Danio rerio: one gene and its partners. The protein of the gene in region 3 interacts with the protein of the main gene of each other region in a pairwise test. Links are inferred from orthologs where the notes say so. Each region holds a gene or a part of one and is shown on either strand. Other genes may lie near its edges.

What was found.
Region 1: the proteins of creb3l1 (region 3) and tspo interact in binary tests that used the Homo sapiens proteins (3 or more experiments, as listed by UniProt). The two-hybrid records come from large-scale screens. The link is inferred for Danio rerio from reciprocal best matches to the Homo sapiens genes CREB3L1 and TSPO.
Region 2: the proteins of creb3l1 (region 3) and mfsd5 interact in binary tests that used the Homo sapiens proteins (3 or more experiments, as listed by UniProt). The two-hybrid records come from large-scale screens. The link is inferred for Danio rerio from reciprocal best matches to the Homo sapiens genes CREB3L1 and SLC61A1.
Region 4: the proteins of creb3l1 (region 3) and fam3c interact in binary tests that used the Homo sapiens proteins (3 or more experiments, as listed by UniProt). The two-hybrid records come from large-scale screens. The link is inferred for Danio rerio from reciprocal best matches to the Homo sapiens genes CREB3L1 and FAM3C.

What each region holds. Positions count from the first base shown.
Region 1 is NC_133181.1:43,134,916-43,141,015, forward strand, and holds the start of tspo (translocator protein), read right to left. Parts: upstream 4,130-6,100; 5' UTR 3,992-4,129; exon of another isoform or gene 3,491-3,991; intron 2,260-3,490; 5' UTR 2,259-2,259; coding exon 2,086-2,258; intron 1,959-2,085; coding exon 1,820-1,958; intron 1-1,819. UniProt on the Homo sapiens protein: Can bind protoporphyrin IX and may play a role in the transport of porphyrins and heme. Promotes the transport of cholesterol across mitochondrial membranes and may play a role in lipid metabolism, but its precise physiological role is controversial.
Region 2 is NC_133198.1:38,887,012-38,893,055, reverse strand, and holds mfsd5 (molybdate-anion transporter), read left to right. Parts: upstream 1-1,921; 5' UTR 1,922-1,979; exon of another isoform or gene 1,980-2,042; intron 2,043-2,218; 5' UTR 2,219-2,290; intron 2,291-2,397; 5' UTR 2,398-2,496; coding exon 2,497-3,942; 3' UTR 3,943-5,192; downstream 5,193-6,044. UniProt on the Homo sapiens protein: Mediates high-affinity intracellular uptake of the rare oligo-element molybdenum.
Region 3 is NC_133182.1:39,151,074-39,156,613, reverse strand, and holds part of creb3l1 (cyclic AMP-responsive element-binding protein 3-like protein 1), read right to left. Parts: intron 4,740-5,540; coding exon 4,631-4,739; coding exon of another isoform or gene 4,562-4,630; coding exon 4,540-4,561; intron 4,410-4,539; coding exon 4,260-4,409; intron 2,285-4,259; coding exon 2,226-2,284; intron 1,679-2,225; coding exon 1,610-1,678; intron 1-1,609.
Region 4 is NC_133179.1:20,694,987-20,699,226, forward strand, and holds the end of fam3c (protein FAM3C precursor), read right to left. Parts: intron 3,355-4,240; coding exon 3,270-3,354; intron 3,186-3,269; coding exon 3,059-3,185; intron 2,980-3,058; coding exon 2,890-2,979; 3' UTR 1,469-2,889; downstream 1-1,468. UniProt on the Homo sapiens protein: May be involved in retinal laminar formation. Promotes epithelial to mesenchymal transition.

The DNA of each region.
Region 1 (6,100 bases), on a different chromosome or scaffold from region 3:
ATGTTTTAACAGTTCTGCAAACACCTGAGGAAAATTCTATCCTCAAAATGAATTTATCAATCGACCATTTAGCACGATAACAATAAAACCTCAGGCATTCACCTCTAAACTGATGTGTGTGCTTGGAATATTTGATAAGAACGGGGAAAAAAGTTCTAAAATGGATTGGCTTATTGCAGGGACGTCCAAACTCAGTCCTGGAGGGCCTTATCTCCAACTTGCCTTAACACACCTCCAAGGATATTTCTAGAAAGCCTAGTAAGAGCTTGATTAGGTAGCCCAGGTGAGTCTGATTGGGGTTGTAACTAATCTTTGCAGGACACCGGCTCTCCAGCACCAAGTTTGGACACCCCTGGCTTATTGCATGAATTATTTTAAATAATAAATGTAAAGAATTTTATTATTAATCTATTGTGCTACTTTGCCAGGCAGTGATATTTGTCTCTTGAATGTGTGATGAAAAAGTTGCTTTAATCATTGAATGGAGAAAGCTTATGTCATTGCGAATTGAAACAGTCACCGACATTCTTCAAAATATATTATTTTGTGTTGCAGAGAAGAATTATCCTAACTAAACAATGACTGAATTTTCATTTTTAATTGTGATTATCTTTATATTTTTACCATGACAATGTACCTGAAAGATGAATGCTTTTTTGAAAAGCTTTGACTCTCTATAGTCAAAAGATTCCCTGTCAACACAAAATCGTAATGAGCATTGCAGGCCACTAGTTTATGATGTCACTCCTAAAAGAAACACTACGGGTGCATCTGAAGTTGCACACTTCCCTACTATATAGTATGTGAAAAACAGCATGTGAGCCAACATAGTGTGTCCAAATTCATAGTATTTAAAAAAACAGTACTCAAGAAGTATTGATAAATTGTGGATGTAGTACATCTGAATTCCACTGTTCTCGCATTTATACTATATATAACATACTTTTTGAACAGTCGTGAACATTTGTGATTTCGGACAGCTTTTTATAGTACATGTGCAAGATTGAACACGTAGTACACACCCACATGATGTCAGCATATTCACAAAATCACTAGTAGTTTGCAGCGATGAAATAAAGTGCACTTTGAACACACATTTTTTGCATTTTCAGGCTTCCAAAATACCATTGTCATGTTAAAAACTGCATAATATTCCCTCCTTTTTTGAGTCTGATAAGATCTCATTAGTACTATATGTGGAGAAACAGGTTCCTGGTTTAACTTTTAAAAAGTTGCTCCATATTTTAACTTGAAATACACTGAAAAAATGGACTTTTGTTGCTAGTTCAAAGTACTTTTTTAAGATAAAATAAGTTGAAACAACACCATTCTTAGCCAAAATCAAACAAAAAGTGCTCAGGGGTAGCTTAATTATTGTGTTGGTGCTCTTTGAATAAGGGATTCACCAAGATAAACAGCAAAAGTAAGTTCAAGGCACTCGAAAAATGTGGACAAAGTATTAAAGAGCCTATATTGACATGGCTATTCCTTAAAACTGCGCCTACACCTTTCAGCAAACACTTGCCACTCTGATGATGGCAGGAGTTTGCTGAAACACATAGGTACAGTTTTAAAGAATAGACATGATAATCAAGGCTCTTTAATACTTTGTCCACATTTTTTCGAGTGCCTTGGGATTGTTTTTGCTGTTAACACAATTCTTATGTTTGTTTTAGGACACTGATTTGTTTATTGTTCAATCCACATACAATCCACATATATATAAAAATTAATTAATTTGTGTTGGGACAACATGAAGTAATTGTGTGGAATGCAGCATTTTATAATACAATTTCAGAGTCTCAGAATAATGTCTCACCAGTTGAATTTTGTGTGCACCGAAGAAGATGGGGGTCCAGGCCCAGTTAAGTGCCAACTGCAGCCCATAAAGCCCCAATGGCACCATTGCATCCTGGGTGAAGCCTCCAAGCTCTTTCCACACAAGGTATGAGCCGTACCTTTAAAAAAAGATGGAAAACTGTTTACTTAATCTGCAGTAACTAGTCAGTTATTAACTTATCTACAACTTCCTTTAAAGTTTCTAAAGTGTAGCATGCAGAGTGAATGCCTACTGTTTGAACGTACCCCATGCCAGTGTAAAGGGTGGTCCACACCACTGGGAAGGCAGCATTCGGTGGTCTCCATGAGGGTTTATTGAGCGTGGAGTACCAGGTCTTAACCTCCCGCCGTGTGATTATACCTCCAAATATCCCACCAACGTGAGGGAGGGCAGTCAGGCTCAGCATAGGAATCCACATCCTTTCAATACAAACAGGTAAATTAAGGATTCTGAGCAACTGCCTGTGTATGTATATTATATACAGTTGAAGTCCCCCTATTTATTTTTTTCCCTAATTTCTGTTTAACAGAGATTTTTTCAACAAATTTCTAAACATATTAGTTTTGATAACTCATATCTAATAACTGATTTATTTTATTTTTGCCATGATGAGAGTACATAATATTTTGCTTGATATTTTTCAACCCACTTCTATACAGCTTAAAGGGACATTGGAAGGCTTAACTAGGTTAATTAGGTTAACTAGGCAGGTTAGGGTAATTAGGCAAGTTATTGTATAATGATGGTCTGTTCTTTACACTATCGAAAACAAAGTAGCTTAAAGGGGGCTAATTTGACCTTTAAATGGGTTTTAAAAAATTAAAAAACTGCCTTTATTCTAGCCGAAATAAAATAAATAAGACTTTCTCCAGAAGAAAAAATATTATCAGACATACTGTGAAAATTTCCTTGCTCTTTTAAACATAATTTGAGAAATATTTAAAAAAGAAAAGAAAATTCAATAAGGAGCTAATAATTCTGACTTCAACTGTAACTGGTTTGGAATGGTTGCTCTGCACCTCCTTCTCCATGTAACTTTTAAGTCTGACAGCTTATCTACCCAGCAAGGAGGCCAACAGTAGCTGAGGGTTCATTTCATTTGCAGCACAATAATAAGTACAACTCACTTCTACTTATTAACAATAAATGCGATCATACACTCAAAAAATATATATTTTTGCTCGTTCAAACTACTTAATTATAATAAGCTAAAACAACACTATTTCATTGGGACAACTTAATTTATTTATGTTCAATCCAAATAAATTTTTTAAATGTGTTAATTTAACTTAATTTGTGCTGGGACAATATGAAATAATTGTGTGTAACCCTGCATTTTTTTACAGTGTACATTAATTGGGAGATTCTATTGCAGATTATTTCCGAGGACATTTTTATTTAGTTTGACCTAAATCTATAATAACCAAAACTAAAATTAAAACTGAAATCAATCAATAAATAAATGAACATAATTAAACAAAAAACAGCCATTATAAATATTGCCTCATTAAAATAATAAAAAATAACAAAAAAGACAACAACCCTAAAATGGCACAAAAAACTGAAAATTAAAAACAATAAAATTGTCTTTTTTAAAATAATATTTAAAATAAATAAAAATAGATTAATATTTGTAATTAAAATAATAAAAACCGTGATGAACAAAAAGTCCAATATAAATGAACTACAAAACAATGAACTTAAAATAAAACAATCATTTAAAATAGAAATACAAATAGCACAAAAACTACCAAACTACTGCTCACAATCCAATTCGAAATGCTTTATCTTAAATTATCTTGAATGAACTTTTAGCAAACATGAAAAACTTTTGGTTGACAGCCAGTTCAGTTTGTCCCTCAAGTGGGAGCGATTCTGCGCATGGACCCAAAACGTGTAAATGTAAACGAAACCTGAGTACATGTGTAGAGCTTGACGAGAAATGTTACATATAACCCAATACAGACATTTTATATTTCGTGCAAGGGATATTAAACTGCATGAATTGGTCGCAAATGTTAGTCACGCGCTTATCGTTACATTACTTAACGCGCGCGACAGACAGCTGGTGGCGTTTTGTTTACAAATACTACGCCTGGCCAGTCAGATAATTCAAATTAATCGATTTTTTCACAGCGTAATCTTTTTTACCTCAACTGGAGAGTCGTGAAGCTGCTCGATGTGAAGAAGAGACCGGTTTGGACAGCCTTCTATGACCGGAGTGATCTTGAAATCCTGATATAAGTTTGTGTAACAGCCAGTGGGCGTGTAGCTCTGTGCTGCTGTAGAAACAATGCTCGGACTCTCTGGCCAATAAGGAGAGGAGCGTAAACATCTGCCGCTTCCTCGTGTTGTGAAACGATCACTCAGCATAGTACTGTACTGTACTGTACTGTAGTAATTTGTGTTCAAGACGATCAGCGCGGCGCAGCGATGGATCAGGTGATATTTTTCACCACTATAAATGAGCTGAGATATGTGTCAGATGTAACAGCAGGCAATAAAGAGCTGCCAACATGATCACAACCAGAACACTAAAGATATAAATGTTTGTTAACATTTCTTTTGGGTTATGCATGAAGGATTTTTGTATCTTTTACAGTTAGATAATGAGCATAAGGAAACGTACACTATGCACAATATGAAGCACACTATGAAGATGACTCCCTCTGTAGGCTAACATTCAACTGACAGCTTCTGTAGAAAAACCCTGTATTTATTTCAGGTATCATATAATGTACAGACTGTCCCCAACTAGTGCAATAAGAGTAAAATATTAGTGACATGTTATTCAGTGAGGGAAGAGAACGTTTTTGTTCAGCAGTATCAAAATAATAAGTGTTTAATGAATAAAATTGGCTAAAATTAGGATAGTGGCAAATAATGAAGATATAAAATGGGGCTGCAATCTGCACTTATTATTAATTAATTTTGATTATTCTTTGAAATATGTCAGACAATATTTTTAAACTATGGAAACTACTTATAATGAATGACATTTTAGTGATTGTGTAAAGATGTAAGCATTATTTTGTTCATAAATTAAGTAGTAAACAAAAATAAACCTTTTGGGGAAAAGCTGTATTACATTAATTATTTTTTTTATCCTTTTTTATATTTTACTACTTTATATTTTACATTACATTTTCATTTTATTCATACTTTTTACATTTTAGATTGCAATGTATTTATGAATTGAAATATTCAGTGAATAATTGTTTTAAGATGATACAGCATTTGGAATCAAACTATAGCTGAAACTGTCAATTAAAGGGGACCTATTGTGCTTCTTTTTACAAAATGGAAAATATATGCATAATTTAATAATTAAAATAATAATAAATAAAATAATTCTAAAATAAGTTTTTTTTTTTAACTTTTAGAAACTGCCCCCTATAGACTTTGAACCAAATTTGGTCATTTTGGTGACTGTTGCTTTAAATTCAAAAGAGATTGGGCTCTTTTCAAAAGGATGTGGAGCTTAATGCATGTGTGTCAACATACTGTAGTGGCAGATTCACAATGTATTACCTGAATCATAGGAGAAGAGTATTTCCTGCTTAAGATTTTTTGATAACACTTAGTAACACTTATTTCTTAAGTTTATTACATTTTCATTTGTTTCTTAGCATTACATGATATGTTTAAATGTTATTTTAAGACTTTCTATGTGTAAAAACATAATGTTTTTATGTTTTTTTTTAAGGACGCATCATGACCCCAAATGTCTTACTGGCACCTCCATGACCAGCTTCATTTTCACGTCGTCCCTCCCAGAATTACTCTATACAGTGGCCTCTACCAGCCAAAGCTCCAGCCTTCCATGGTCTGAAGCGACTGAGACCCCATGTGGTGTTATTACACCTAAAAGTATTCTCTTTACATAAATGTTGAAGATTGGGATTTTTTTTGTTTAGATCTGGGACCCTCTAAATCTAAAAAAAAAACTGGCCCACTGAAACTAGTATAGGTGTTTAACACCTTCATCAAGGAGATGGAGAAGAGCCTTGACATTAATGTTGATGTGCCAAACAGTGTCAATAACATGCAGACTTTATGATGCAAGCTGAGATTGCATCAGTCAATGGAGCTAGTGACGTCACTGTGAGGGGTGGTTATAAGGTGAGCCCATTAAAAAGCACTTCCTGCACCTCACATTGCATCTGCACTAGGTCTGCATCCAGACCCCTCTTCAATAGAAACTTTTGTCTTCTGCAGGAGCTCAAAAAGTGATAGAGGGAAATTGCTGCTGAAAGCTCT
Region 2 (6,044 bases), on a different chromosome or scaffold from region 3:
ACACCTCCGAAATATCAATGGAGTGGCTTCACAACAACTCAGTAAATGTCCTTGAGTGGCCCAGCCAGAGCACAGACCTAAATCCTATTGAACAACCCTGGAGAGATCTAAAAATGGCTGTACACTGTCACTTCCCATCCAACCTGATAGAGCTTGAGAGGAACTGATAAGAGGAATGGGCAAACATTTGTGCAAGACAAGTGTGCAAAGCTTGTGGCATCCTATCAAAAAGACTTGAGGCTGTAATTGCTGCCAAAGGTGCATCAACAAAGTATTGAGCTAAGGCTGTGAATACTCCTGTACATGTGATTTTTCAGGTTTTTTATTTTTCATAAATTTGCAACAATTTCAAAAAGTCTTTTGTCACATTGTCATTATGGGGTATTGTGTGGAGAATTTTGAGGAAATAAATGAATTTAATCCATTTTGGAATAAGGCTGTAACATAAAAAAATGTAGAATAGCGCTATGAATACGTTCCGAATGAACTGTATATTGAATATGTTCCAACAATCAATGCATGCTTTATGCTCTCTAAAGATAATTTAAGTGGACAAACCATTTAGCTTGTCATGTATTTCCATGCAGACTTTATGTCAGGAGCTTCAGAATCATGTAGAAATAATTGTAAGTGGCCTGAAACTGTCAGTCAAACAGAATCGACTTTTATTTAGTACACTGGCAAGATGCTGTTTATTCTTTATTGACAAGCAGATTCAGCTTATACTGAACCATGCAGCTAAACAATTGTACTTTTTATGCTCTATTTGTAGAAGCAATAATATTTTAGTGATTCATTATTGCACAGCTGTGGTGCAGTTGTTAATATGGGAGTCATCAAAAATGTGATCCGTCTAACCCAGCTAGTTAGTTAAAAACGGTGGTGTGGTGACATCGCGTGGACACTCACGGTAGTAAAATAAACGAAGTCAACACAGGATTTTGAATTTAGTGTCAGTGCACTTCTTGTTTGAGAAGTCTCTTTTCTCGGCTTCCTACACTTTTTGCGTCAGCTAACAAGATCAAGCAATGTATCAGATGTATTTTACTTTAATCTTCATTAACAACGTTCACTTAAGTTACTTGCTCCACGGTGTCATTTCATCTGAGATGTTAGTGTCCGGTAGACTAAAGATAGATGTTCAACATGTTTGGAAAAAAACGGTAATGTCAGATAATTGCTAAGGCTAATCTTATAGCCAGCAGATGTACGATGTATCGTTTAACGTTCACAATAGACAATATTTCCACACTTGTTTTTTAATGTTTTGTCAAATCAAAATCTAAATATTTTGAAAACCCTTACCTGAATTTTAGTTTTCATCAGTGACATCTCATTCTCCACATTCATTTTTATGCTAACATGGTTGCTGTCTAGTCGATATATTTCGAAAAAACTTTATTTATGAAGTTAGCAAAATATTTCCAAATGGTTGACGATGATATAAACATTAAAATAGATTATTTTAGACGTTCGGAATTTTAGTAACATTTTGTTTGGCGTTTAATCGGAATATTTAATGGCTATTGTTGTTATTTTTATTCTTGTTTGTTGCTAGATCAGATACGGTTGCGGCTGGAAGATGAATATAATTATTTATATTGTTTATTAAATTTCCCATTGATTGTATTGCATTATTGCCTTCTATCACACTGGCATTATTTTGTTCTATTATCTTGTATCTGTCGTTTAAAGCATAACAAATGAATAACAATAATAAATACATGCCCTAATTAATATTCATACTGTTAGCCAATCCCTGATAAAAAAATATTTCTAAAAAAAAACTTCTTTCCTTCTGTTGCATAGCCAATCAGCGAGCCCCACCTTGTATACGTAATTAATATTAATAAGGCAAGCGCCTTACGTTTGTTTTGCGTCATGACGCCTGAGTAACCCGGAAACACACGCGGATGTTGTAGAACATATATTGCAGGCATTTAGATGAAAAAAGCGTCTGAATTCATGGCGTAGAAAAGGTATTTAATAATCCCAAATCAGCGGACAGTTTCTAAATTCCTTAGAAAAATGTTAAGAGTACGGTAGGTGTGTTTAAGAGTTTATCCACGCATTATAATTACGAATATTTGAGGCTTAAAGTCAAGTTCCATTTAAAAATCATTAATGTTTTTAAAGCGTTATTATTAAACCCATCATTTATGGGCGCAATACATACAGTATATGAGGTGTTGATAATTACAATGTGTCTTTTTTTCAGAAGTCAAGCTGACAGTCGCTCATGATGAGTCCAGAAGTGAGTTTATCCAACTGTCATGTGTCACGTGATGGTGTATGATCACTTTTTATAAAACATTACTTTTATTTAAAATATTTTGAAATTTTTAGCCGTTATATTTTCTTATATGTAATAATTTTGCTAATTTTGTGTTTTTGCAGATGAACCATTAATTTCACTGCACCAAAAGCTGTAGGAGGATGTTGATCTAGGATTTCTTCTGATTCCTCCACTCACCTTCAGACAGATTTGTGCCCATCATGTTTGTGACGGCATACCTAGCATTTATAGTCCTAGCAGGACTGTGTGTGGCTTTAGAGATCACAGCCCGGCGTCTCACCTTATCCCAGGCCACACAGACAGCAGTCGCCAATCCGGCTTTCCAGCGTTTCCAGAAGCTCTTTCTGAAGGCGTATCTCCTGGCTCTCTGGGCAGACTGGCTACAAGGGCCTTACCTTTACAAACTATACCGACATTACAACTTCTTGGAGTCACAGATTGCCATCCTATACGTCTGCGGTCTGGCTTCTTGTGTGCTGTTTGCCCCGGTGGCCGGATGGCTGCCACAGTTTCTCGGCCGAAGACAGACGTGCCTCCTCTTCTGCTTGGCTTATTCAGTGTGTTGCATCACCAAACTCTCACAAGACTATTTTATGCTCATTCTAGGACGTGTATTAGGCGGCCTGTCCACTTCTCTGCTAACAACCACCTTTGAGGCCTGGTATGTGCACGGTCACGTTGACATTCATGACTTCCCCAAAGAATGGATCCCTGTTACGTTTGGTAAAGTCGCCAATTGGAATTATGGACTTGCAGTTGGTGCTGGACTAGTGGCGAATTTGTTCGCAGAATGGCTTGGGTTGGGACCGGTCGCTCCATTTCTGTTGGCTATCCCGAGCCTTGCTGCTTGCGCCTGGTTTGTGCTTTCCGAATGGGGTCAGGAGGACAAACAAGAAGGCATGAATGGAGACAAAAACGCCCCCCTTCTTAACTCCCTAAACACCCCCAAGTTGCAATTGTCAGCACGTGCCCGTTTCTGGCGTAGCTGTGTGGATGGCCTTCGATGCCTGCTCTCGGACCGCCGTGTTATGCTTTTAGGAGGCGTTCAGGCACTTTTTGAAAGCGTGCTGTATATTTTTGTATTCCTGTGGACTCCTGTTTTGGATCCTCATGGCCCACCTTTAGGAATCGTATTCTCCAGTTTGATGGCGGCCACCATGGCGGGCTCCACACTTTTCCGATTGGCCACATCAGCCCCGTATCGACTCCAACCCGGTCATCTGCTCTGCCTAGCCATTCTTCTAGCGTTCTTCTCCTTCTTCATGCTGACGTTCTCCACCGTGCCTGGCCAGCCCCGGCCCAGGGAATCTCTGCTCGCTTTCCTTTTGCTGGAACTGGCTTGTGGGCTTTATTTCCCAGCGGTGAGTTTCCTCCAGGGTCGTGTGGTTCCCGTGGAGCGCAGAGCTGCAGTTTTGGCTTGGTTTCGTTTGCCTCTGCACCTCCTGGCCTGTCTGGGGCTGCTGGCGCTTCACGGGGAGGTTTCAGGGTCCGGTGCGGGAGAGGCTGGCAGCGGCACCAGGCACATGTTTGCAGGCTGTGCTGGGATGATGCTGGCTGCTCTGCTCGCCGTGATCAGCCTTTTCACTGTGGGCAGGAATGATGCCGACCTGAGATTAGAGGGCCCCAAACTGGAAGGAGAAATCTGAGTTGGACAGTGGATTATATATGGACTGTTGAAGTGAATCTATTCAATAGGATAGATCAGTGTTTCCCAACCCTGTTCCTGAAGGCACACCAAGACATTTTCAACCTCTTCCTATTCAAACACACCTGAATCAACTCATCAGAACATTAGAAGAAAACCTGAAATGAATGGGTCAGATAAGGCAGACAGCCAAAATATGAACTGTTGGGTTGCTTCCAGGAACAGGGTTGGGAAACACTGGGATAGACCTTTGAGATGAAACATCTCATTTTCAACGGCGTCCCTATGAAGTACATAAAAGAAAAAAGAAAAAAAGGAGTACAATACATCAAAACAAACAGAGATTGTGGAATGTGGTTTTATATACTTTGTTTCTTTCCTCATGCATTCTGTCTTGGTTAAACAATTGTATTTATGGGTAAATGCGAATGTTAATAGAACCAATAAACTCAAAATCGGATGTATTTCTAAAATGTGTTTAGGAATTAAATTGGGGCGCGATATGTTCAACAAGTCAGTGAGCCGGTGAGGGATCACAAACACACATCATGAAATACGTAGGGTTTTTTTTTTAATCCATACGGCATGCGGTATAAAATTCCATTAAAACTACACTCTTCCAGCAGTTCATACTCTCATCCAATATCTTGTTTTGACTTGGGGGGCATGCATGAAATGCTCCTGAATGAAAGTAAAAAAGTGGCAAACTGCAGTTAAAGTCGACAAATTAAAAATAAAACACTTGAGATTACATGAAACTCCAGAGGAAATGTTGGATAGTGAAGCAATGACATAAATCAAACTGTGCTATAACATGTAAAACAGAATCATGAAAGGAACATTCAAAACACAACTCATGTAAACACCTTAATCATTGTATTATCCTAGTTAGATTAAGACAAATAATTTGATTACTGATGCCCATGTAAACATTTATTTTAACACCAAGCCGATACCCTGGAGTAGATTCCCTATACAGTATGTATTGAACTGTGGCTACTGTTTGAGCTACAATTAAAGCACAGTGTGATTATTAAAACAATAGGCTATGCATTAGTAATAAATGCAATAAGACAGTTTTTTCATCCATCTCATGCTGCACACAGACCATACGGACAGGTTAAGGTAAGCATTTTCATTTATTGAAATAGATGGCAACTGAACAAATTAAGGCTCATGAACAAACATCTTAGAAAGCACTGTAAATAAATGCATATTTGAAAAATATAAAAATAAAAATTACAAAATAAATCTGTTGTGAAGTCTAATGACCACAGACATCAGTGTAACATTTCTCAATGTGTTCAGTTCATTTCCAGTCATTCCATTTTAGAGTAGGGGGTCTCCACTTATCACAGCTCGTAACAAACATTCCCAATGAGTGGATTTCTATATGGAATTTGAGAGAGAGAGGCCTTCGGATGTCAATCTCTTATGCTATAAAATACATTTTTGTTATAGTATTGAAAACGACTAACAGCAGTACATAAAATAAACGCATCTGCACAGTTGTATATGGCTTGTGTGAGGTGGTATAGAACTCATAAGTTACATATTTAAGTAATATCCTCAACATTAATGGTGCATCACAGTTTTTGTTAAGTCAAATTTAGCTTTTCTTTAGCAAAACCTATAAAGTGAGGAAAGAAAAAAACAATCACTGTCTTTGGTTATAAAACCATTGCATTAAAGAGTGGCATGCAAAGAAAGAAAGTTGTAATGGGCATTTGATTTTTTAGTAGTTTGTCTTTATTCCAAATGTCCCAGTATCTCTTACACCCACAACTGGTGCTTCACATTTCTATCTCAAACCCGTTTGAAGAAATTAATTTTGCTCATGTGGTGGCTCAGCAGACTTACAAGGACATGTACTAGTGATAATTAAAAGTTTATTAATATAATAAAGAAAATGCTCAGGTTGGCAGTCTTTCATGAGGAACACATTTTGTTCCCTTTAGTGTTGTCTGTTTATGCAGTTTTGGTCAAACTTTCTGAAATCTTATGTTTGTGGAATGTTTGCTAACATTGATTTTTCCCACCAAATGCACATTGTAAAAGATATCCATTAATGAACAGTTTCCATATTTGGTGGTGTTTTCTGTT
Region 3 (5,540 bases):
TAATATTGACCTTAAAATAGTTTTTTAAAAAATTCATAACTGCTTTTATTCTAGCCGAAATAAAACAAATAAGACTTTTCTCAGAATAAAAAATATTATCAGACATACTGTGAAAATTTTCTTGCTCGGTAAATATCATTTGAGAAATATTTAAAAAAGAAAACAAAAATTTAAGAGAGGTTTGATAAATCTGAATACTCAAAACCGTCTACTCAAACATTTAGGAGAATTACTGTTCACAGAGACACAAAGAAATGTTTTTTCCTTAATGTATTTCCTCAAAGTGTTTTAGTAAACCTTAAACATTTGAAATTTACAATCGCATAGTTTCATAATGATAAATTTCATGTTTATTTTACAGTGTGGAAATGCACAGACAATTGCTGTCTGCCAGGGGGATGACCAACGATGAGGACTTCAGCATTGTCTTGGAGGATGAGCAAGTCATGGCTGGCTTGTAAAATCTAGATTTGCTGAACTGGATTTATACTAATATTACGCAAATTAAAATGACCCAAAAACAAACTTACATTAAGTTTCTGACAAAAATTCCCTACTACAACCTTGTGGAGAAATTTCACTGCATTGACTGATTGATTGATTATGTTGCTAACATTTTGAGATACAGCAATACACAATTTCTGTCAGATTTTGTCTAAGATGTGACTTTTCCTACAAAGGAAAAGCCAGACAAAACATTTTTTTCCATCATATGGATAAAGAACTTTTTTCAAAGCTTAACATTGCTGTTATCAGTGGAACATGTAATAAAACGATATTTGGCAAAACTGCATTTTGTAAGTATCTCATTATAAAATATATATTTGACAATTTATGAATAAGTAATTTTCATTAATAAATATGAGTAAGTGGTGATTGATTTGCTTATATTACAAATTCTACTAATAATATTAAAATCATCATCTATCACTCAAAAATGTAGTAATTTTCACATGATTTAAGTATTTTTTGCTAAAAGAAAATCAAGTCTTGATACTACTTAAAAATAACACGGGCAATAGTGTTACCATTATATTTTAAAGTAAATAGCACATAAGATTTCTTACAGTGGAACTTAAGACTGCTTTTGTGGTCCAGGGTCACATATGAAAGTCAGCAAGCTTCAGAAAACACCCAATCTTTCATTCTACAGATAAAACAAATCTAAAACATAACTAAGCATAATTTTATGTTCCAAAAAAGAAGAAAAATTCCTCCAGATTTTTCGTTTTTCATTTTAAATGAACTACCCCTTAAGAGCTTTCGCCTCCAATGAGCTACAGTTAATCCACAAAAAAAGTGCTGACTTTGATAACACCCAATCCCCCACGGTGCCCTCTCTTCTGTCTCTCTAAACAGTAGGAACAGACAGCAGCCTGTCGACAGCGCCAATACTCTAAGCAGGCCACCCAGGAGAGAATGAAAAGGTGCTGCTCTATATGATCGGAAGGGGAGGTTAAGACCTGCACGCATCTGGATCAACTTAACAACACCTGCTGACTGCAAAGACCCGCACACTTACCGCAAATACAGCCACACTTAAATGTATTAAAATCCACCTATAAAGTATTCGCCGTGATTAAACACGAGCACACATGTGCTTCCTCACCTGTTGGCATTTTCAAGCGTCTCAACTTTCTTCCAGAGTTCATTGTTCTCTGAAGTGTAGTTCTCCACTCTGAAGAGGAGTAAAAGAGAAAGAGTGTGTTATTGCGCACGGTCACATTGAGATGCATTTACAAAAACGTTTCCATAAGTATGACCACATATAAGCAAGAAAAGCCAGTGTGTGAGTGTGTCCAGTGTGAGTCCAGTCTCTCCAGCACATTATCCAAACCCTGAGAGCCTAACAGCAGCACAAAAGGGAAAATGACTCATGCAAACGCGCGCAAACACACACACACATACACCAATGAGTGCATGGACTGTAGCCATTGGCCATATTCACACAATAAAAGCCATAAAACAGCTAGAAGGGTATAGCGCATTTTGAGGGTATGCTGGGGTGAGAATGACGAGAGGATTAAAGGAGAGGAGGTCATCGAAGAGAACGAAGGATGAAGGCACAGAGAGAGTGGATGCTGTTGGATAAACAAAGCAAAAGAGAGGAAGGGAAAATAAGAGCAGAGGAGAAAAGGACAGCAGTCAGAATGCAGGAGAGAGAGAGAAAAGAGGTAGAGAACAAAGCATTTAAGAGAGAGAGAGAGATAATAGAGTGGAATTACTTCTTCTCCAAACACTCCACATATTCCTTCTTCTTCCTGCGGCTTTCCTGTGCAGAGATCTAAGAAAAGAATGTAAAAAATATTATAATGAGCGTAAATATATTATTCATATATTAATACAGTGGCTAGAGTAAGTATTGAACAGCTCATGATTTTACTTGGTATACAGTGCTCAGCATAAATGAAAATAAATATACTTTTATGCAGTTCTCAGTGAATGTAGACAATATATTTTAAGGAATTAATAGCAGTTTCATCAAACAGTTATATCAATTAAAATAAGAGTTGGTAACTGAATATCCTTAGGAATAGAAAGTTAATAAATTTAAAATCAAATTAGTGGGAAAAAAATGCTATATAATAATTTAATTGTATATTATTCTGTATATTATTTACAGTGCTTAGCATAAATGAATACACTCCATTTTGAAAATGAATATTTTTATCCATTTATCTGTGAATATGGGTAATATTGGTGCATTTAAACAAAACAGATTTATTAAACAGATACATTTGTTAAAATAATACTTTAGTCACCAAACATCTTTAAAAATGGAATGATGATACAATAAATTCATGCAAAATATAAAAAAAAAATTACAAACTAACAACATTTTAACAAAATTGCATACATTTTTTGTTTATCTTGATTTGTTTCTGTTTTTGAAAATTCATTCATTCATTAATTTTCTTTTCAGCTTTTTTTTAGCCTTTATTAATCCGGGGTCGCCACAACGGAATGAACCGCCAACTTATCCAGCAAGTTTTTACACAGCGGATGCCCGTTCAGCCGTAACCCATCCCTGAATAACCAAGATTTGGCTTCAGTACTGACTAATCTAATGTATTTGCATAAATATAATATTGTACAGCTTCCTAGAAAATATAAATATGTACTTATATATGCTAAGCACTGTATATATATTTCTAACATATTAATTTGGGTGTACCAATATTTTGACTAATCTTAAGTTTTTTTGTTAGAATTGTTCAAGTTTCAGAAAAATATTTTAGAAAAAAATTGATTCATAAGAGAGATCTGTGAGGGGTGTACTTGTTTATGCTCACTGTTTATATTTCTAAAGGAGCTGTTCACATGAAATTGACCCAGATTTTGGTTTAAAAAATGTTAAAAACACCCAAACATACAAGTAATGCAAAAAAAAATCTTTAAAAAGTGTTATGTGTAAAAACATGGAATGGCAAAAGGAGAAAGTAATGAACTACTGAAATATATTGAATATTTTGCATAAAAGGCTTTTTTGTTAGTGGTAGCTTTGGAGAATTTTGCATTCTTCAGGTGTGATTTTCACACTTCAATAGACTTTCTACTAACTACTGAGAGAATTCATCTGCTATCTGGGCTTTCCATTCCTTTTTCCACCTCTATTTCTTCATGTGTTCAATATTTTATATACAATTATATGTATATATTAACCAAATAAAATTTCATATTAACATCAAAAGTACTGTAGGATTTTTTTCTTTGATCCATAAATTATTTCCATATACAGGAAATTTTCACAGTATGTCTGATAATATTTTTTCTTCTGGAGAAATTCTTATTTGTTTTATTTCGGCTAAAATAAAAGCAGTTTTAATTTTTTAAATCCATTTTAATTACTAGCCCCATTAAGCAAATTTTTTTCGATAGTCTACAGAACAAACCATCGTTATATATAACTTGCCTAATTACTCTAACCTGTCTAGTTCACCTAATTAACCTAGTTAGGCCTTTAAATGTCACTTTAAGCTGTATAGAATTGTCTTAAAAAATATTTAGTCAAATATTATTTACTGTCATCATGGCAAAGATAAAATCAATCAGTTATTAGATAAGAGTTATTAAAACTATTACGTTTAGAAATGTGCTGAAAAAATCTTCTCTCCGCTAAACAGAAATTGGAGAAAAAAATAAACAGGGGGGCTAATAATTCTGACTTCAACTGTATATGCACAAAACTTATATAATAAGAGACTTGTTTTAATAACCAAGTTATTTCAATATTAATAGTATGTAATCATTATCAATACCTTATTTTTGATTTTCCTGCGCACCCGTTTGAGTGCTTTCTCTTCGGTTTTGGTGAGCGGTAGTTTGTTGGGGACAGGATATCCCTCAGCGATCAAAGTCCTCTTTTCTTCCTCTGTCAGCATCAAAGGGCCTGATGTTCCCTGCAGCTTCTGCATTTCAACACAAGACAGAGTTTCACTTTAAATAGAACTGCTTAAGACGTAACTGTATGCAAATTTCCATTAGGAATATATGTGTATATAGTGTGGTGTGTCATGTGCCGCATTGATTAGCACTCACGTGCGGGGCGGTGAGGAGAGGGGATGAGGAGATAGCAGTGGAGGTCCGGGCCTGTAGCCGGGCAGGGCTGGAGGGTGGCAGTGAATGTGGGCTCTGCAGGTGGCCAGGGCTTAATGGTGGCAGTGAATGTGGGCTCTGGGATCCATCACTGTCGCTGCCATGGCTGCTGGGAGGAGTTGGCGGCAACCGCAAATGCTCTTCTGTTGGGACACACAGATAATCTTGATACAGCTGAAAGTACAAAACCTGAGCATCTTAAAGAGATAGTTTCTCAAAAATTAAAATTCCATCATCATTTACCTAATCTTGACATGTTTCAAATCACTAAACAAAAAAGAAGATATTTTGAAAAATGTTGGAAATCTTTAACCTTTCACTTCCACAAAAGAAATTAAATTACTATGGCGGTCAATGGTTACAGATTTCCAACATTCTTTAAAATATCTTATTTTCTGTTCAACAGAACACCATAAACTCTGATTTGGTCAATCAAGGGTGAGTAAATGAAGACCACCCCTTTAAATAATCAGGTTTAATTTTCTATGCCTACACATACAATGGCAAACTCAAACAAAATAGTCAAAGTTAAAAAGGGCAATGAATCTTTTGAGGCTGAAGTGTAAAACTGAAACTCCATTCACCTGTCACCAGGATAAAAGCCAATGAAACCTAATCTACTGGGTAGCTTTTGGTCATTTCGCACACAGCACATGCATGCTTTTAAATGTGGTGAGTGTTGGACTCGCTGTGTGTTTGGTCTGGCGGTGTCCCAGCATACACACAGCATTGCAATAAAGCTGTTGTTTCTGGATGAGCAGGATGAAAGAATGCTGCAGTGACAGACAGACAGCACACACACAACACCTGCAGGTGTTACAGGTTGCTTGCCATTAGCAGATTTATCATATTAAATGATGTACAGAACAGTCCAGGAGCAATCACACTAGGGAAAGTAACAGTTATCTTTGAGTTTTTAGTAGTAGAGCGGTAAAGCAGGGTTT
Region 4 (4,240 bases), on a different chromosome or scaffold from region 3:
AGCTACACAGCTAATGATATTTAACTATTAATGATGATACATTTTCAAAAATTTCTCTTTTAAAACTGTTTTGGGTTTGATTCTGTTTCAACAGAAAATAACTGAGTCGTTCAAGATATATACACGGGCGTTATGTTCACATCCTTTTGCTCTGGAGTGCAAACATTTACATTTTTATTATTACATTGTTATTGGTATTAATTTAAATTTTAAGCGAGAATATCAGCGACATAAGCGCGTAATTCAGGCCGACCTGAAATACTTGATTCTGATTGGCCAATCTCAGTTTCCATTTAGCAGCGGTGTACATAAGCACGTTCAATCGAAACCGGAGGCACTTATTAAAGTAACACACCTGGCTGGCGCCATCTTGTGTCCGTTATTACAACGTTATATTTGCGAAATTCAGGTAAAGATAATTTAAACTCGATACAGTATGTCATTGAAGTGTAATGAGTATCATGTTTAAAGCCAACATAATTATGTCAGACAGTGGATTACTTGAGTAGCACAATAACGTACGTTGCGCAAGGTGATATAACGTTACAGTAGTCGACGATAACGGATATCAACGTTTTTGTGTGGCATAACAAATGTTTGCTTTTTGTCATCTTAAAATTATTAAAGGAACAAACAGAGTCAAACCTGAAACTTTTAACGTTACAGCTCCAAAATGTTTCTCCCTCTGAAATCCCTTATGAAAATTAACCATCGTTTTTATTAAAAGTGTAGTGTTTTTTTCCTGTGCGTATTTATCAATATTTCTATAAACAGTTTGACTAAAATGCCATGGTTAAACTGCTGAATTTGTTGTCACCATGTTTTTGTTTGTTTTAATTTGTGGTAAAAACCATTGTTGATTTTCATAAGGGATAAAACGGCACTTCGTTTCATGCACTTCTTAATAGTGGCTATATATCCACATGCCATTATAATGATGCTGGATTTGAATAGGTAAACGAGGACACATGCTGCAGGATATATAAATTGCCATGTTTCAGAGCACTTCAATTTAGTCAAAATTAAGAATGGATATAATTTTCCCATGTGACTAGTCAGAATAAATGGTATTCACTGATGGCATAAAAGTAAATCTAAACTAATAACACGTTGACATTTGTATAGACTGTGTCTGTACATTATGTTGTTGCCTACATCAGTACCTATATATTTTGATATTTTCAGAATGGAATAAATCTGTTATTGAGTGAAATGAGCTTTATCAGTTCAGCTGTCAGCTAAATTAATCTTTTTCTTGCACGGCTGTGTGCTTTGAAACCTTCTCTGGACTTTTCCTAGGCCAATGAGAGCCGAGTGGACGCCTTCCAGGAATCTGCAAACTCTTTTATAAACACATGTACCATTTTGGATGTGTGCATCATGCTTTGATGAGGCAGAACAGATGCTAGGATTATTCTTGGGAGTTCTCTGCTTTAATCTAAACAAAAGGTAAGACAAAACCCAGAAATGAAAGCAAGTCATTTGTTTTATTACGAAACACCCTAAAAAGCTTGAGTCGTATTTTAAGGAAAGACTCTACAATCACAGAATGCAAAGTTTACTTGATTTAAATTTAATTTATAATAAAGAACTCCTCAGTACAGCTATACATATTAAGGCCATGACGTGCAATCAACAACTCCACACAAAAGTCTAGACAAAATCACTTTGCATATATTATCACTGTAGTAAGGCACACAGCTGGTTTTCTTACAAAAAAAATGTATCATGCACAACTTCACAGTGTAAGTAAAGTTAAAAATCATACAGGCAATCATTAACAATATTAACAACAAGGTGATCTTTTGGCTTTGTAAATTCACAATACAGGACATACTACAGATATTGCATAAAGCACAATAAAAAAAAGATTATATTAAATTATAATAGTGTAATATCAGCACTAACTGCATATAACAGCTGCTGCTCAAACTCTTAAAATGCAAAAAAAAAAAAAAAAAAAAAATTTGGCCGAATAAAACGACAAACGAAAAATCTCTGAATGCAAATCACCAAAATGTAACAAGACTCCCTGAAGCTATTAAAAATAAAATTATTATAAAAACTGAAGACAGTAGTTTTTTAGTACAAAAAAAATCTTGTAAATTAAATGCAAAGTGGGGGAAAAAAAATCTTCATTCTCTACCATTCAACATTCAAACTGTCTTTGCCAGTAGAAACAGTATGATAAACATAAAATAATAAATAATGTAAAAACAATCTTTTGGTAACAACAGCTCTAAGCCGTGTATCTTCAATCCATTCTGATCAACATTGTCATGGTGCTATGATTAAAATGAGCACAAACCCTCTTCCTTAATTCTCTATTTGTAGTACAAAAGACTATAAGACAACAGGCACTCAAACCTTCTGATTCCTATATCTCTTTTTATGACACTGGAGGTTCACAAATGGCAGCACAATGGCAGTTTATGGACCAGCTTTAAAAATAAAGAGTACCTATGAATCAGGTTTTCCGCAAGCATGACATTTTAGAAATGTTTTCCATTGGTGGAAAAACAACAATTTTTGAAGTTACTAAAATAGCTTTGGTTAACGTAATTTTTTATATTTAAGTTTTAAAATATTTCACTGGCTACATATTGTACTTGCAATTAATTAAAAAAATCTCAATCTAGGGATCATGTACAACAGAAAAGTAATAGAAATGCATTGATCAAAAGGAGTGGGAACCCCATAAAATAAATATAAATAGAGAGCAGCAAATGCTCAGGACTTCTAACCTTAAGATATAAGATACAGTCCTTCAAAGTCTATATTCTACACTTACTTGCATCATTGAAAATGTCAATTCAACAACACATTGCTCATTCAATTTTCTTCAAACTCCACCAGGAACAGCTAAATTATTTTAAAATAAGGTTGATTTCAGTCATGCTTTATAGGAATGCATCCTTCCATCTCCAGAACTTCTGGCCATCCTTCATACTTGTTAGTCTCTGCATTGTTCTTGATGTGCTGGAAAAGTATGCGATGGCTTATTAAATATTTTTTACTCCAAATTTAAATCTAAAAAGAAGCCATAAGGTGATTTTACCTGCTCAAAGGGGCTCTTTGTCTTGATTCCTTTGCCTCCAACAAACACCCAGTTATCTCGGAAGCCTAATATGCTGATGCTTGAACTGCCCAAATCTGCTATCAAATTTCTGGCCTCGTCATTCATCCTGTTCAGAACAAATTAAAATTAAATGCATTTAATAAAAGATCCCAGACAGATCTGTAAAGATTTCACCAAAAAAAAAATTTACTTTGTTGCAGGGTCGTCAAATGTGGCCATCATGACAATGCTTCCATCTTCTATGTCCTTCAAGAATTTGATGAGAAGATTTACATCTAGAAAATACAAGATCATTTAAAAAGATTAACTGCATGTGACTTAATATTACATTTCACAGACTAGCAAATGGCTAGCCCTGGGTGATATGAAAAAAATCTAGTATCACTATACAAGCTATCATCTCATATGCCAGAAAGCATAAATGAGTACACCCCTCACAAAATTTAGTACACCCAAATTAATATGTTGGGTGAAAATATGAAATGAAAATTGTATAAACAGAAAAAACCAAGAGAAGCATACATTTTTTTTGTTTTTACATCTACTCAAAACTTTGTAGATTCATATAATTACCGGTCCAACATAAAAATATTGCTAAATAAAAAGTAAATGTACATTCAAGATTGCAGCTTTTTCATGATGCAACAAAATAAATGATAGAACATATAATAAAACCACAGACTTTTTTGATTTCATAAATAGTCTAACCTATTTACTAATACAGACTATATTAAAAGTATCTAAAAGTAATTATTCAAAAGGTGTTTTTCTCTATAAAACCATTATGACACTTAACATGTTTTAATGTATTAACATTGTGTTTTTAAAAACCAAACTCAGTAAATATTAGTTATACATAACGTAAATAAACATTAAGAATTTAAACCTAGGATCTCTAACTCCACCAATGTCCTGCATCTTGTCCCATTTTTAATTATCTGGGAGTAATTCATGTGCTACTAAGATGATGACAGCTAGCTCTGCCCACTTTGGCGGTTCAAAAATGCTCTTCACACACATCCATGTTTTTTTACAGCCTATAAGGTATAACAATGCATTTTCATTGATCCGAACACAGGTGGACTATTCCAAGTACATGTTATATTGGCTCTGACACATTTTGATCATGTCAAATTTTGACCACTACCACAGGTAGTCATA